Linked DNA regions of Diceros bicornis minor. The protein of the gene in region 1 interacts with the protein of each later gene in a pairwise test. Links are inferred from orthologs where the notes say so. Each region holds a gene or a part of one and is shown in the gene's direction. Other genes may lie near its edges.

Region 1 (3,746 bases):
CCGTTAAAAAACAGAAAACTTCTAAAGCAGGGGCTTAACCTGGGCTTTTGAGAACTGTATACCGCCTGGAATAGCATACTAAAATTGGCATCCCGTATCTGTCGATTTCACTGGATTCTCTATGACTTTCTCTTTCACTGGATTCTCTATGACTTTCTCTTTCACTGGATTCTCTATGACCTTCTCGCTCCTACCTCCGCCAAAGGTAATCACTGCTCTCCAGAGCTAAGGGCCCCTTCACAGGGCTCAGTGCAGTGCCTGACTGCGTGGAAGGGATGTGATGAATATTAATGTAATCAAATATGAAAATTCACAGTTTTAGGATTTAAATAAAAATTATTAGTGTCCACTTTTAAACAAGTAACTAACGTAGGAATAGAATGCAATATGGTTCCCTGCCTCCATTGCTGTAGAAAAGGGAATGATTGTGAATTCCATTCTGACATGTAAGTTTTTTTTATTCTAAATTATTATTCGTAATAGGATGATCTAATCATTTTTATATGGCTACTTGCTGATCATTAGTATGTTATTAAAAGCTTTTAAAAAATAAGTTTAATGACTTCATAGGAAATCAAGTTATGTATATATGTAAAGTTTGTCGTTTCTCAACATTTAGCTGAAAACTTGTGCATCATCAGAAAAACATCAGGTTCTGTTCACCCCCTGAATCAAATAAATGTACTCTATGATTTTTCTCTGAATGATTAGGACCACAAAAAGCAGAGAAACGTCATTTGCATTATTTGACTTTGAGGAGCTGTGTTTTATAGACCCTTCTCTGGGTTAATACCAAGAGGGGAAAAGGTAGTAGAGGCTTGTTGAACTGGGCTGCATTGCATTTTTAAAAATTTGCATTTGTGTTTCAAGCTATTTGAAAAGTCTAAGAAAACAGATCATCTTTTTCTCTAACTCAAGGAAGTTAAGTGTGTGCTCTCACATTCACCCAAACTCTCCTCTAAATTTGCACTTTTCAAATTGAGGTACCGTATGCCTAGTTTTCTTTCTAGAATCTATTCTCACTGCATCCCCCTTTTGCTTATCAACACATCCTCCTTCCGATTTCTAACACGGTTCCTGTCCCGGCTGCGTTGCACCGGGAGACGGGCATAGGTTGCCTCTCCCTCGGTTAATCGTGCAGTCACATTCTGGTGAGGGACCTCAGCAGCCCAGCACCAGAGCATGGAAACAGCTGACTGCTGACTCAGAGGGGAAAGCAAGCCACCCACGAATCTCATTGCAGCTCGCTACTGCATCCCTATCCCATAATCCCTTGCTTGGTTTGCTGCAGTCTTTTCAACAGACGCTGAGTGAGAAAAAGATGTCCTGTGAGATAAAGATTGATGGGTTTGAATACCGAAGGGGGTCTCCCACTTGTTAATGACCCAGAAACATTCCTGCCGACTTTCCTGAGCCTTCTCTCCTTTCCTCCATTTTTCTCTTCCTCTGTTCTGTTCATGAACTGGCACATCACTACATAGAGCAGAAGATATGCTGGGCTTCTGATGATGGCTGCACTGCATGGTAGGGAATTTTAACCAGTCTCTTTGCATGGTGCTTCCACACTTGAGATGTTAGCTGAAATGTGCGTTGTTCTTTTGGATCGTCGCGGAGCTGCAGCGATAGGCTTGGGAGGGTTTAATTCTTTGCCTCGTTTATTAGTCTGTCTGCAGAAATGGGTAGGTCCTAAATGTTCGGATTGCTTAGTATTATGCCAGGTGGATAACTAATTTCTCATACTGTCTCTGTTCTGGCTTCCCCCCAGCCCCCAACCCCCATAGTGATGCTGTATGCTCTGTAACTATAAGATAGAGGGAGACCCACTCTTTGCTTAAACAAAGGCATCAAATTAACAAGAATAGGGAGAAAGTCATGCAAGATTTTCATATCAAGTTCCTAAAGTGATCTGATGACATTTTTATAATATGTATCTCGGCTTATTTTAAACAGGAAATTTTTTTCCCCTGCATCTCTCTGTTGGGTACAAAGATGAGGATGAACTATTTAATTTGCAGGATCCCTTCCTCCATATCTCAGGGCGGAGGAAAATGTGCAATTCAACCCTTCCCCCACCCCATCCTCTGTTAGAGAACCCTGGGGTTAAGTGCCAAGGTTCCCAGTTACCATTGGAAACCCATTCATTCATAATGCATGACTCGACCCCCTGAATTCTGAATGCCATTGATGATCAGCAAATATGCAGGAGATAATTTGGGGTTTTTTTTCTGACATTTTTTCCCTGCCTTTGAAGTAGACTCAAAGCTGGGTGGAGTTCAATGGTAGCATTACACAGAAAAAAAGAAATCCTTGGGTTGGACCTTAGGTTTGCTTCCTGAAACAGTGGGTATTATTTTTGTATCAGAGAGCTTTTGCTACAAGTATGCCCCACCCTGTCACTATTCCTTATTTTGGGGGATAGGAGAGCAAGTAGGAAGGCTATTTATTTTAAACTAAGAATTGAATGTTAGTAAGTGGATTTCTGAACCAAAAGGTAAAGTGATAGTTGTCTTAAGAAAAGATGGTTTCAATGTCATAGTTTTAAAGAACAGATCTAGAGTCAGAAGGAGGCATTTTAAAAATTGTTGGTTTGTTTCTCTGGCTTAGATCATATTAGGACAGTTTTATTCCTCATGAATAAATTATTAGAGGTTTTTTTTTTTTGTTAATTAGAATATGTAAGGAGAGCCATTTGTTTGCCCAGATTCTTAAACTGATTTCTTAAATATTAGGATTCTGGTGTGAACCTATTTTCGGGTGCCTTTCATTATTTCTCAGCAGGTGCTTTGGTAGCACTGTTCCTACCCCAGTGTCATGTTAAATAATGCACGCCCCTCCCAAGCAAACACACAATGAGAAGTTTCATGTGTGCTGTGCTATGAGAAAGCAGCTTTCTGCTGCAGAGATCTGAGTAGTGGCCTTTCTCAAACCTCTAAGTATTTCTTTCCCATTTTCTCCTAGAAAGACACAAGCAATTTGTACTGAAAGGTTAGGACCCGGCTGAATGTAAAAATGTTCTCTGATAGAATGTGCTGTTTCGAGAAATAAGAATGTAGCATATATAACCCACATATTTTAAAAATGGAGAATAAAATCTATACACATTTTTCACCATAGTTAATATTATAATCCTGAGATGACTTAATTTTTTAAATTTATATGATAACAAAAGCTTAGGTGATTTTGTTGCTTGTGAAATAAAGTAAAAATACTCATTCTTTGTCTTACTAAGAAATGAAAATGTCCTTCATTTGGATATCTTTAGAGATTAATTTCTCCAAATGTATGAGTTTCTTTTATCTATCTTTATTAAGTAGAAAAAAATTCTAAATATATAGCAATTTTTAAAAATTTAAGCTTAATTTTTAAGACTCCCTTGTGCTTTTTTTTTCATTGTCTCTCCCATAAAACTAAGACTTTAACCAAACATGTGTATGTATTAGTGAAATGTACAGAAGAGAAATACTTTCAAACATTAAAAAACTTGCTACCAAATCATTTGCTATCATAATTTTTTTTTCTTTCAAAACCGTGGCTGAATTACTTCTAATTCTGGCAAAATTATAATTTCCATTCACCTGTAGTTGCTTTTAAAAAAAAATATCTGTGATGCATCTGTGCCCCTTGATTACTTATATAAGGATTTTAGTGTAAGAGTAGAATTTGTGGTCTGTAGTGGAGTTGGCTATTAGGGTTCTCTGAATATTATTATTGTGTAGGTTGTCTGAATTTAACAGATCAGGTTTCCT
Region 2 (3,746 bases), on another chromosome or scaffold:
AACCCTCAAGGTTTCAGGTCTCAGGCTGTCTCTCATCTGGTGAACTCGTGGGCTTCTTTTTCCCAGTGGGGGAGGGGTCTCCTTCACTCACCCTAATCCAGGTCGCCTCTCCCTTCACTTTTGCAGACAGAGCCGATGAAGGTCCAATCGCAGATGCCTCCGTGCTGAATTGGGCAATTTGCTGGTCTAAGACCCAGCCCAGGCCTCCCTCGGTGGGGAGGCAGTCATCCTTTTTAGAAGCCGGCCTTCCAGACTGGACTCCAGCCCCAGCTCCCAGAGCCTTCTGGCCCCTGGCGTCCCCCTCCCCAGGACCTGGGAGCAGCTCGCTCCTCCTCTTTCCCCAGTGGAAGGCTGTCCTCAAGGATGGGCATGTTCCCACAGGAGAGCACCCCAACTCTGCTCAGCTCCTCGTGGCTGGGTGGTCAGAGCAGGAAGGGGGAGGCCCCTTCCCCTTCCCTGGTCCCTGGTCACCCGGTTCCTTGGTTGGGCTTCAAGGCCAGGTGGCCGCACCTTGGGGCGAATGGGGGGCGCCTTCCAGGCGCTCCTGATAGGGTCTATAGAGCCTGGCTCCCAGAAGGGCGCGCGCAGGCTGGCTTTGGGAGCACAGCCCTCCAGCCCCCTCAGTTTCCCTCACTCCAGGTCCGGCCGACAGCAGCCAAGCCTGGAGTTCTAAGGCCCCTGCTCCTGTGGCGGGTCCCTTGCCCACCCCGGGGAGAGCGGGTTTAGAATCGCCCTCCTCCCGCGATCCCAGGGCGCCAGGAGTGGGGGGCGACCTGGAGCGCCCGGAGGGAGGCGGGGCCGAGACGTCCAGCGGGCGGGGCGGGGCGGCTCCCAGGCTCCCATCCCGCCCCCCTGACTCACCCAGGCGGGCCGGGAACTCCGCGGGAGTCGCGGCCGCTCCGCTCCCAGCGACCTAGGAGTTGGGCCCAGCGTCTGGTCCCGGAGCGGTGAGTAGGTGGCTGTCCGTCCCTGGGGACTGGGGTGGCGGAGTCGGGGTCGCGCGCGCGGGAGGACCGCTCCAGGTGCGGCTAGCCCTGTGGCCTGAGCTAGCCGGCGTCCGGGACACGCAAGGAGCTGGGGAGGGGGTTGGGGGTAGAGAGAGGCTCAGCCCGGGCCCTCCCGAGGGCGCCTGTCCAGGGAGCCCCGAAGGCCTGACCGAGGACTGAGTGAAGATCAACAGGCTGGGGGTGACCCTGGGGGTCTTGACGACGCTCCCCTCTCCTTGGCAGCTTAGACTACAGCCACAACTCATCCGTGTGAGCCCCTCAATGCCCCAGAACCCTACCACGTGGGGTCCTCACCAGGCTGCCCCCTCTGCAACTCTTGAGCCTCAAGAATCCTCTGAACCCCAAGTCTTGGCGGGGCAGCTTGGAAAAATACTAGGTTGGGAGTCCCCAGGCCTGGGGCCCCACCCAAGATCTGCCACTAAGGTGAGACCCTCCCCCACCCAGGCCTCTGTTTCTCCCTTGTGTAAAGGTCAAGTCAAAAATCCTCTCCAGGGCCCGGCCCCCTGGCCTAGTGGTTAAAGTTCCCTGTGCTCCGCTTCAGCACCCTGGGTTAGGATCCCAGGTGCAGACCTACACCACTCATCAGCCGCAGTGTGGCAGCGACCCACATACAAAATAGAGGAAGATTGGCACAGATGTTATCTAGGGGCGAATCCTCTTCAGGAAAAAAAAAAAAAACCTCTCCAGGGTTTCAGGGCTGACAGCAAGTCGCTATGTCTTCCTTGCCCCTTAGCATGGGGGGTGGGTGGGGAGGGGGGCTGGACCAGGTGAGCCCACAACCACCATGTTTCTGGAGGCAAGCTGGGGGCTTGGGGAGGGCCTGAGAGGGGAGAAGCAAGGGTGAGGATGCATGGGCTGAGGTAAGGTTGGGTAGGGGGCATGTACCTGGTCCCAGGCTGACGAGACCCTCCCCACAAGCCTGGCATGCAGATCAGCCATCCTCCCATGTCTTCCCTGCCAGAACCCCGCTCTGAGCTTCTTTTGGCAAAGATGCTCGAACAGGTTCTCGCCCGAGATGAAACAAACGATGCAATCAGACAGAGGGGACTTAAGGGTCTCGCCTCAGATGCCACTTGTGCTTGTGAAACCTTGAGCAAGTTATTTCACTCCCCCGAGTCTGGGAAAGGAGGTCCCGACACCCACGCTCACAGAAGGGGAATCAAAACGAGGCATCGAAAGCGTCTGGTGGCCGCCAGCGGTGCGCGGCTCTGTTGTTGTTCTTCTCTGGGCCCCGGTCCCGAGAGCCCTTCTCCCTGGACCCTCCCACCAGCCCTGCTCAGACAAAGGGGGGCCACCCTTGTGTCTGTGGAAGCTTAATGGCAGGTTCGGGACCATCAAGTTTGAGTCACAGAGACAGATAATGATAACTCCCGTGTCTGCCTCTGAGGGTTTTGTGTGTCCACCTTGCTCTGTGGGAGCCACTGGGCCATTCACTGGGGACCCTGGAGGTCTCTGCCTTCTTGCCTTTGATTGTGGACCCGGGATGGGGGTGGTGGAGCTTCCAACGTCGTGAGATGGGTCCTGAAGCGCGGCAGGCACTCGGGCAGGAAGTCAGTCCCTGTCTGTGTGTGGCGTTTCTGCCGCAGCCCCCAGAGTTACTGTTCTTAGGTTAGAGCCGAGCAGGGTCCCTTGCAGGTCCTGACGCGGCAGGGAGGACAGTGGGTGGCCAGAGCTGGAAGAGGGTTTGTGGCTGGCTCCCTGGTCCTGGGTCTCCCTGTAGCTCAGTGTGTGTACTTGCACTGTGTCCCCACATGTACAAGCTGCACGCTCCAGCATGCCCCCACGTGTCCCTTTGGTGGCTGCAATGTACATTCGGCCCCCTGGAGGCTGTTGAGCTGTCATTCGGGTATTTCTATCAGATTCTTTGGTGACTGAGACTGCACATGATGCACTGGGACACTTTTACTCAGCTTTTCGTTTGGACAGGGTGTAAAACCGAACATGAGGGACAGGCCATTATGTGAGGGATCTGTGCTCTGTCTGTGCACCCCTTTTGTGTGCCTGGTTCTAGGTGAGTCAGGGCCTGAGTCAGGGGACCCAGGAGCCCGGGTGTGGGCAGGCGTGTGCCTGTCCCTTGCTTGCCATCCCCATACAGGGTACAGAGGTGGGAGCCTCTGATGGGATTGAGGGGTGTGGTGGACTGCCCAGGCTTCAGCCTGGTGGGCAGGGCATGCATCCTGTAACCCCACCCACCCCACCTTGTCCTCACCCAGGAGTCACCAAAGGTCTTCAGAGGACCAAAAAGGGAGGCATGGAGATGTCAGAGTGCTTGGCTGAGGTGTGGGACAGGGGCCAGGTTCCCCCCAGGAGATGGGAGAGAGGCTGGAGGACCAGCGGGCAGCCCAGATGCCTCCCTCCCCTGTGCAGCCTGTGCCCAGTGACAGGCCATCAAGATGAGGACAGCAGGCTCCAGGAACCTGCCTGAGAAAACAGGGGCTGTACATTGGGGAGCATGGAGGCTGGGAGGGGGAGCCTAGGAGCCCCCTTGGAGGCAGTGGAGGCCTCGCTGTCTCCCTTTCCTCCCCCTCCAGCCCCAGGGAGAGAGGCGGAGGGAGGCTCGTCGGTAATGTCCCAGCTTGTGGCCCACGCCCCCATGTGCCCTGTTCCTGGCCCTCTGTATCTGGAATAATGATACCTTGGTCTAAAATGAAACCCAGGGACAGACAGAGTGGGCCGGGAGCCCAGGAGCCTGGAAGCCCAGCCCCGTCCCAGTCGTAGGTGTCAGCCTGGCCTTCTCGC
Region 3 (3,746 bases), on another chromosome or scaffold:
TCTCCGGCCTTAATCGTCACTCGTTTCAGTGAGTAGCAGAGGGTCTGGCTCATGGAGGCAATTAGTAAACGCTAGACTGGACAAACTGAATTCGGACGTGATCGGACGGATCACCGGGGGCAAGCGAGGACGCGTGTACAAAATGACGTGGAGAGTGAATGCCTGAGGGCGAAAGAAGCTGGGACCACCTCCCCATGTAACTGCCAGCCTCTGAGAACAAGAACTATGTTGTAATCACCTCTGCTCAGTAAAGGTTTTTGGAATGAATGAAATGCATGGGTGCGGTCAGTGACCTGGTCTCGGCCCCAACTGCAGCATTCATAGTCACCGCCCCGCAGGAGATGGGTGCACTGCGGCCCACAGGGCAGACTCCTTCCCTCCAGGTGCCCACCAGCCCCCTAACTGTCCATCAGCGGTTCTGCAGCCTGAGTGCTGGGCCCACCCCGGCGTCTCTGACACGCGAGGCTCGGGGTGCGGGGGAGAACCCGCGCTTCCAACAAGGTCCCAGGTCCCGCTGCCGCTGTCTGGGGACCGCACTTTGAGAAAGTGCTCCAGAGCAGCGCAGCACAAGGGAAACACAATAGCAGCCACATATACAGTTTAAAATTTCCATTGGCCGCCTCTTTAAAAAGTAAAAACCAACAGGTGAAATCAATTTCATTATATTTTACTTAATACGCCCAAATACATACACATTTACAATATATCCACACTATTATTTCAACATGTAATCAATATAAAAACATTATTAAGGCATTTTACATTCTTTTTTCCTCCTAATCCTGGGAGATCTGGTGTGTATTTTACGCTTAGCGCTCATCCGCAAACGTCTAGCAGCTCAACGGTTCCACGCGGCTAGCGGCCCCCAGCTGCCAAGCGCGGCAGGTGCGAGAGGAAGGAAGCGGCCAGAGAACTACACCTCCCGGCATGCTCCGGGCGCACCCCGCGACGCACATCCAGCGAGGCGCGGGAGCGAGGTGCCCACGGAGGAACCACATCTCCCGGCACGCTCCGGGCGCGCCCTGTGACGCACTTTCTGCGCCGCGACGGGAGCCAGGCGGCCGCGGAGGAACCACATCTCCCGGCATGCCCCGGGCGCGCCCTGTGAAGCACTTCCGGCGCGGCGGCGACAGCGCGCCCCCGGCGGCTCGGCGGCGGAGCGAGGCGACCGCTCAGGCCGCGGCGAGTGACGGGCGGCCGGCCAACGGGGCCGGGGCGGGGCGGCGGCGGCCAGCGAGGGAGCGCGCGGGCGGCCTGGCCCCGCCCCCGCCCCGCCCGCCTGCCCCGGTGACCTTCAGGGCCCGGGCGGCGGGCGCAGGCCCGGGCGGCGGCGGCGGCGGCGGCGGCGCGATGTTCGTGCAGGAGGAGAAGATCTTCACGGGCAAGGTGCTGCGGCTGCACATCTGCGCGTCCGACGGCGCCGAGTGGCTGGAGGAGGCGACCGAGGACAGCACGGTGGAGCAGCTCAAGGAGCGCTGCCTCAAGCACGTAAGGCCGGCCGCGCCCCGGCCCCTCCGTCGGCCCCTCCGTCCCTCCGTCCCCGCGCCGGGGCCGGGCAGCGCCTCTGCCTCCTCCCCCCACTCCGCACCCGGCGCTCCTGGACGCTGCTTCCCGCGCCCGACCCGGCCGAGCACTCTGCACTCCATCCTCTCCTTCACCTTCCACAGCCGCCCGCGGGGGAGGGCGGATCGGGAAACTGAGGCTCCGGGAGGCGAGGCCGCCGCTGGGAGCCGGGCTTCCTCCTGCACCCGCGCTTGTGCGTACCGGCTGTCGGGGTGAGGGTCTGGGTTTTTCAGCAGGCCCCCAGAGCTGGGAGTGAATGCCCGAGGAGGGAGATCCCTTCCCTTCCCTGCGGAGCCGGCTTCCGAGCTGTCTCCGGTTGGCCGGCGTGGGCGCCGGGACGGGCTCTGGCCCCCCGCCTCCGAGCTGGAATCCCCTAACACAGTGTCCCCGCGCCCCTGCTTCCCGCGGCCTGGAGGTTGATTCGGGGGGGAGGTCCGGGAGAGGGGCTCCTCCTGAGAGAGCCGCCGTTTAAAGTTTATTCACGTGAAATACTCCTCATCGAGTTAGTTTCTTAGGTCGTTGATTTTTGGAACTAGTTCTTGGTTTCCTCTCGGTAAACTTCTCGACTCTGTAAGGCGGGCTAAGGCTTCTGTGTGTCTGACTCTGGCTGCCTAAGGAAACTCTATACTTGGTGTGATGTAGAATTTGGGTTACAGGAGGCTGCGGTCTTTCAGTCCGTTAAGTTATATATTTATTGTGATAAGTTGGATATCTGTATTTGTGATAAGATGTTTTGTTAAAATAAAGCTAAGCGTCATCTCCCAGGATAAACTTCCAGTTATAATAACTACCTACAAATATTTTTGAGTCACTCCCGTGAGTGTGGTTCTGGGGAGTTCTGTAACTGTCTGGGGCAGGCCAGAGAGCGTTCTGGTTGTGAGAGCTGGATGTGAATAACGGTGCTGTCTTGGCCTCAGTGATACACATCGAGGAGGAGGGGGCTCTGGGCTCACTCACTGGAGGGGCAGGTATGTTTTGGCAGCCTTTTGTTTATCTTCTGACCTGGTTGGTGTGGTTTCGCTGTCTAGATAACCCTCAGTACAGCGCTGAGGTAGGAGGCAGGGGCTCCATGGACATCTAGACTGAGAGCCAGGCACTGCTGCTTGTCTAGTCTTGTATGTTTTTTAAAAGCCTCCCTGAGATGCTGTGTCCTCCCCCACCCAGGACGGGAGCTCCCCGAGGGCTGGGTTTGTATCCACACATCCAGCGCCAGAACTCACGTGTGGGTTAATTGAACAAATGGAAGCAGATTGCTGATCCAGAATTGCGTGGACGTGGCCTGTCACCTGCTGAGGCAGGCAGGGAGAAGTCAGTGGGTAAATTGGTGTGGCATTTTGAGTAACTCACTAATGGTACGGATTTACATAACTGCCATAATATTATTTTATGAAGAGAAACAGGAAATGAGAACTGTTTGATCCACAGATGCTTGCTAATGAATTTCAGGAGCACTTGGGGTTCATTAGGCAGCCTATTTTGATATGATGCTGATTATTATGTTCCCGATATTTATTATTCCAGTCGGTATTGAGATGTATTGTTTGGGATTTTTTCTGGGCATTATCCTACTTTAAATTGAGATTTCATTCCACTCTGCAGTCCCTCCAGGTGTGGAGGATCCAATCAGTAGGGGAGTTTCACACCCAAAGAGACAACATGAATTACAGGACTTGAGAGCCATCAGAAAGTATTCTCACCTCCAGGCCCATCCCGTTCTGTAGGCAGAGCGCTGCCTCTTGAGCCGTCAGACTGCATTAGTTAGGAAAGAGAATTCTCGAGTTGTGTGCTCGAATGTCCCCCTGGAAACCAGGCCCTGCTGCAGGCAGGGGGCAGGCGGATGTCAGCTCCTGCTCCTCCTCCCCAGGTCCCCCTGGTGTGTGCTAAGCTGGTGTCGTTTTTTTCCTTTCTCTTTCCCCTCTACCTTGAGGGGACACTGTGGGCTTCTTGCCCCACAGTCGGGGAGTGGGGAACGGGCAGAGTGAACCATCTGTGTAAGAGGAGATTAATGAGTTTAAGAAAGTTACATCTGTAACGTGGTGGGGTGTTTTCTGTATGGTAAGTGTTCGTGAAATTGCCAGTAGGGAACATGATACCTGCTGGTGTGACTTAACATTCTTAGATCACGTAAAGGCGAATCTTCAAATGACAGCTTCCACCTGGTGTAAGAGGAGCCACTTCTGCGC

What was found. The genes of interacting proteins can lie anywhere in the genome.
Region 2: the proteins of TRIM2 (region 1) and LRRC8E interact in binary tests that used the Homo sapiens proteins (3 or more experiments, as listed by UniProt). The two-hybrid records come from large-scale screens. The link is inferred for Diceros bicornis minor from reciprocal best matches to the Homo sapiens genes TRIM2 and LRRC8E.
Region 3: the proteins of TRIM2 (region 1) and UBAC1 interact in binary tests that used the Homo sapiens proteins (3 or more experiments, as listed by UniProt). The link is inferred for Diceros bicornis minor from reciprocal best matches to the Homo sapiens genes TRIM2 and UBAC1.

Annotation. Positions count from the first base shown.
Region 1 is NC_080750.1:41,471,927-41,475,672, forward strand, and holds the start of TRIM2 (tripartite motif-containing protein 2), read left to right. Parts: upstream 1-1,309; 5' UTR 1,310-1,521; coding exon 1,522-1,524; intron 1,525-3,409; exon of another isoform or gene 3,410-3,746. UniProt on the Homo sapiens protein: UBE2D1-dependent E3 ubiquitin-protein ligase that mediates the ubiquitination of NEFL and of phosphorylated BCL2L11. Plays a neuroprotective function. May play a role in neuronal rapid ischemic tolerance.
Region 2 is NW_026691615.1:694,721-698,466, reverse strand, and holds the start of LRRC8E (volume-regulated anion channel subunit LRRC8E), read left to right. Parts: upstream 1-878; 5' UTR 879-947; intron 948-1,229; 5' UTR 1,230-1,430; intron 1,431-2,788; exon of another isoform or gene 2,789-3,746. UniProt on the Homo sapiens protein: Non-essential component of the volume-regulated anion channel (VRAC, also named VSOAC channel), an anion channel required to maintain a constant cell volume in response to extracellular or intracellular osmotic changes.
Region 3 is NC_080767.1:42,825,911-42,829,656, forward strand, and holds the start of UBAC1 (ubiquitin-associated domain-containing protein 1), read left to right. Parts: upstream 1-1,221; 5' UTR 1,222-1,350; coding exon 1,351-1,488; intron 1,489-3,746.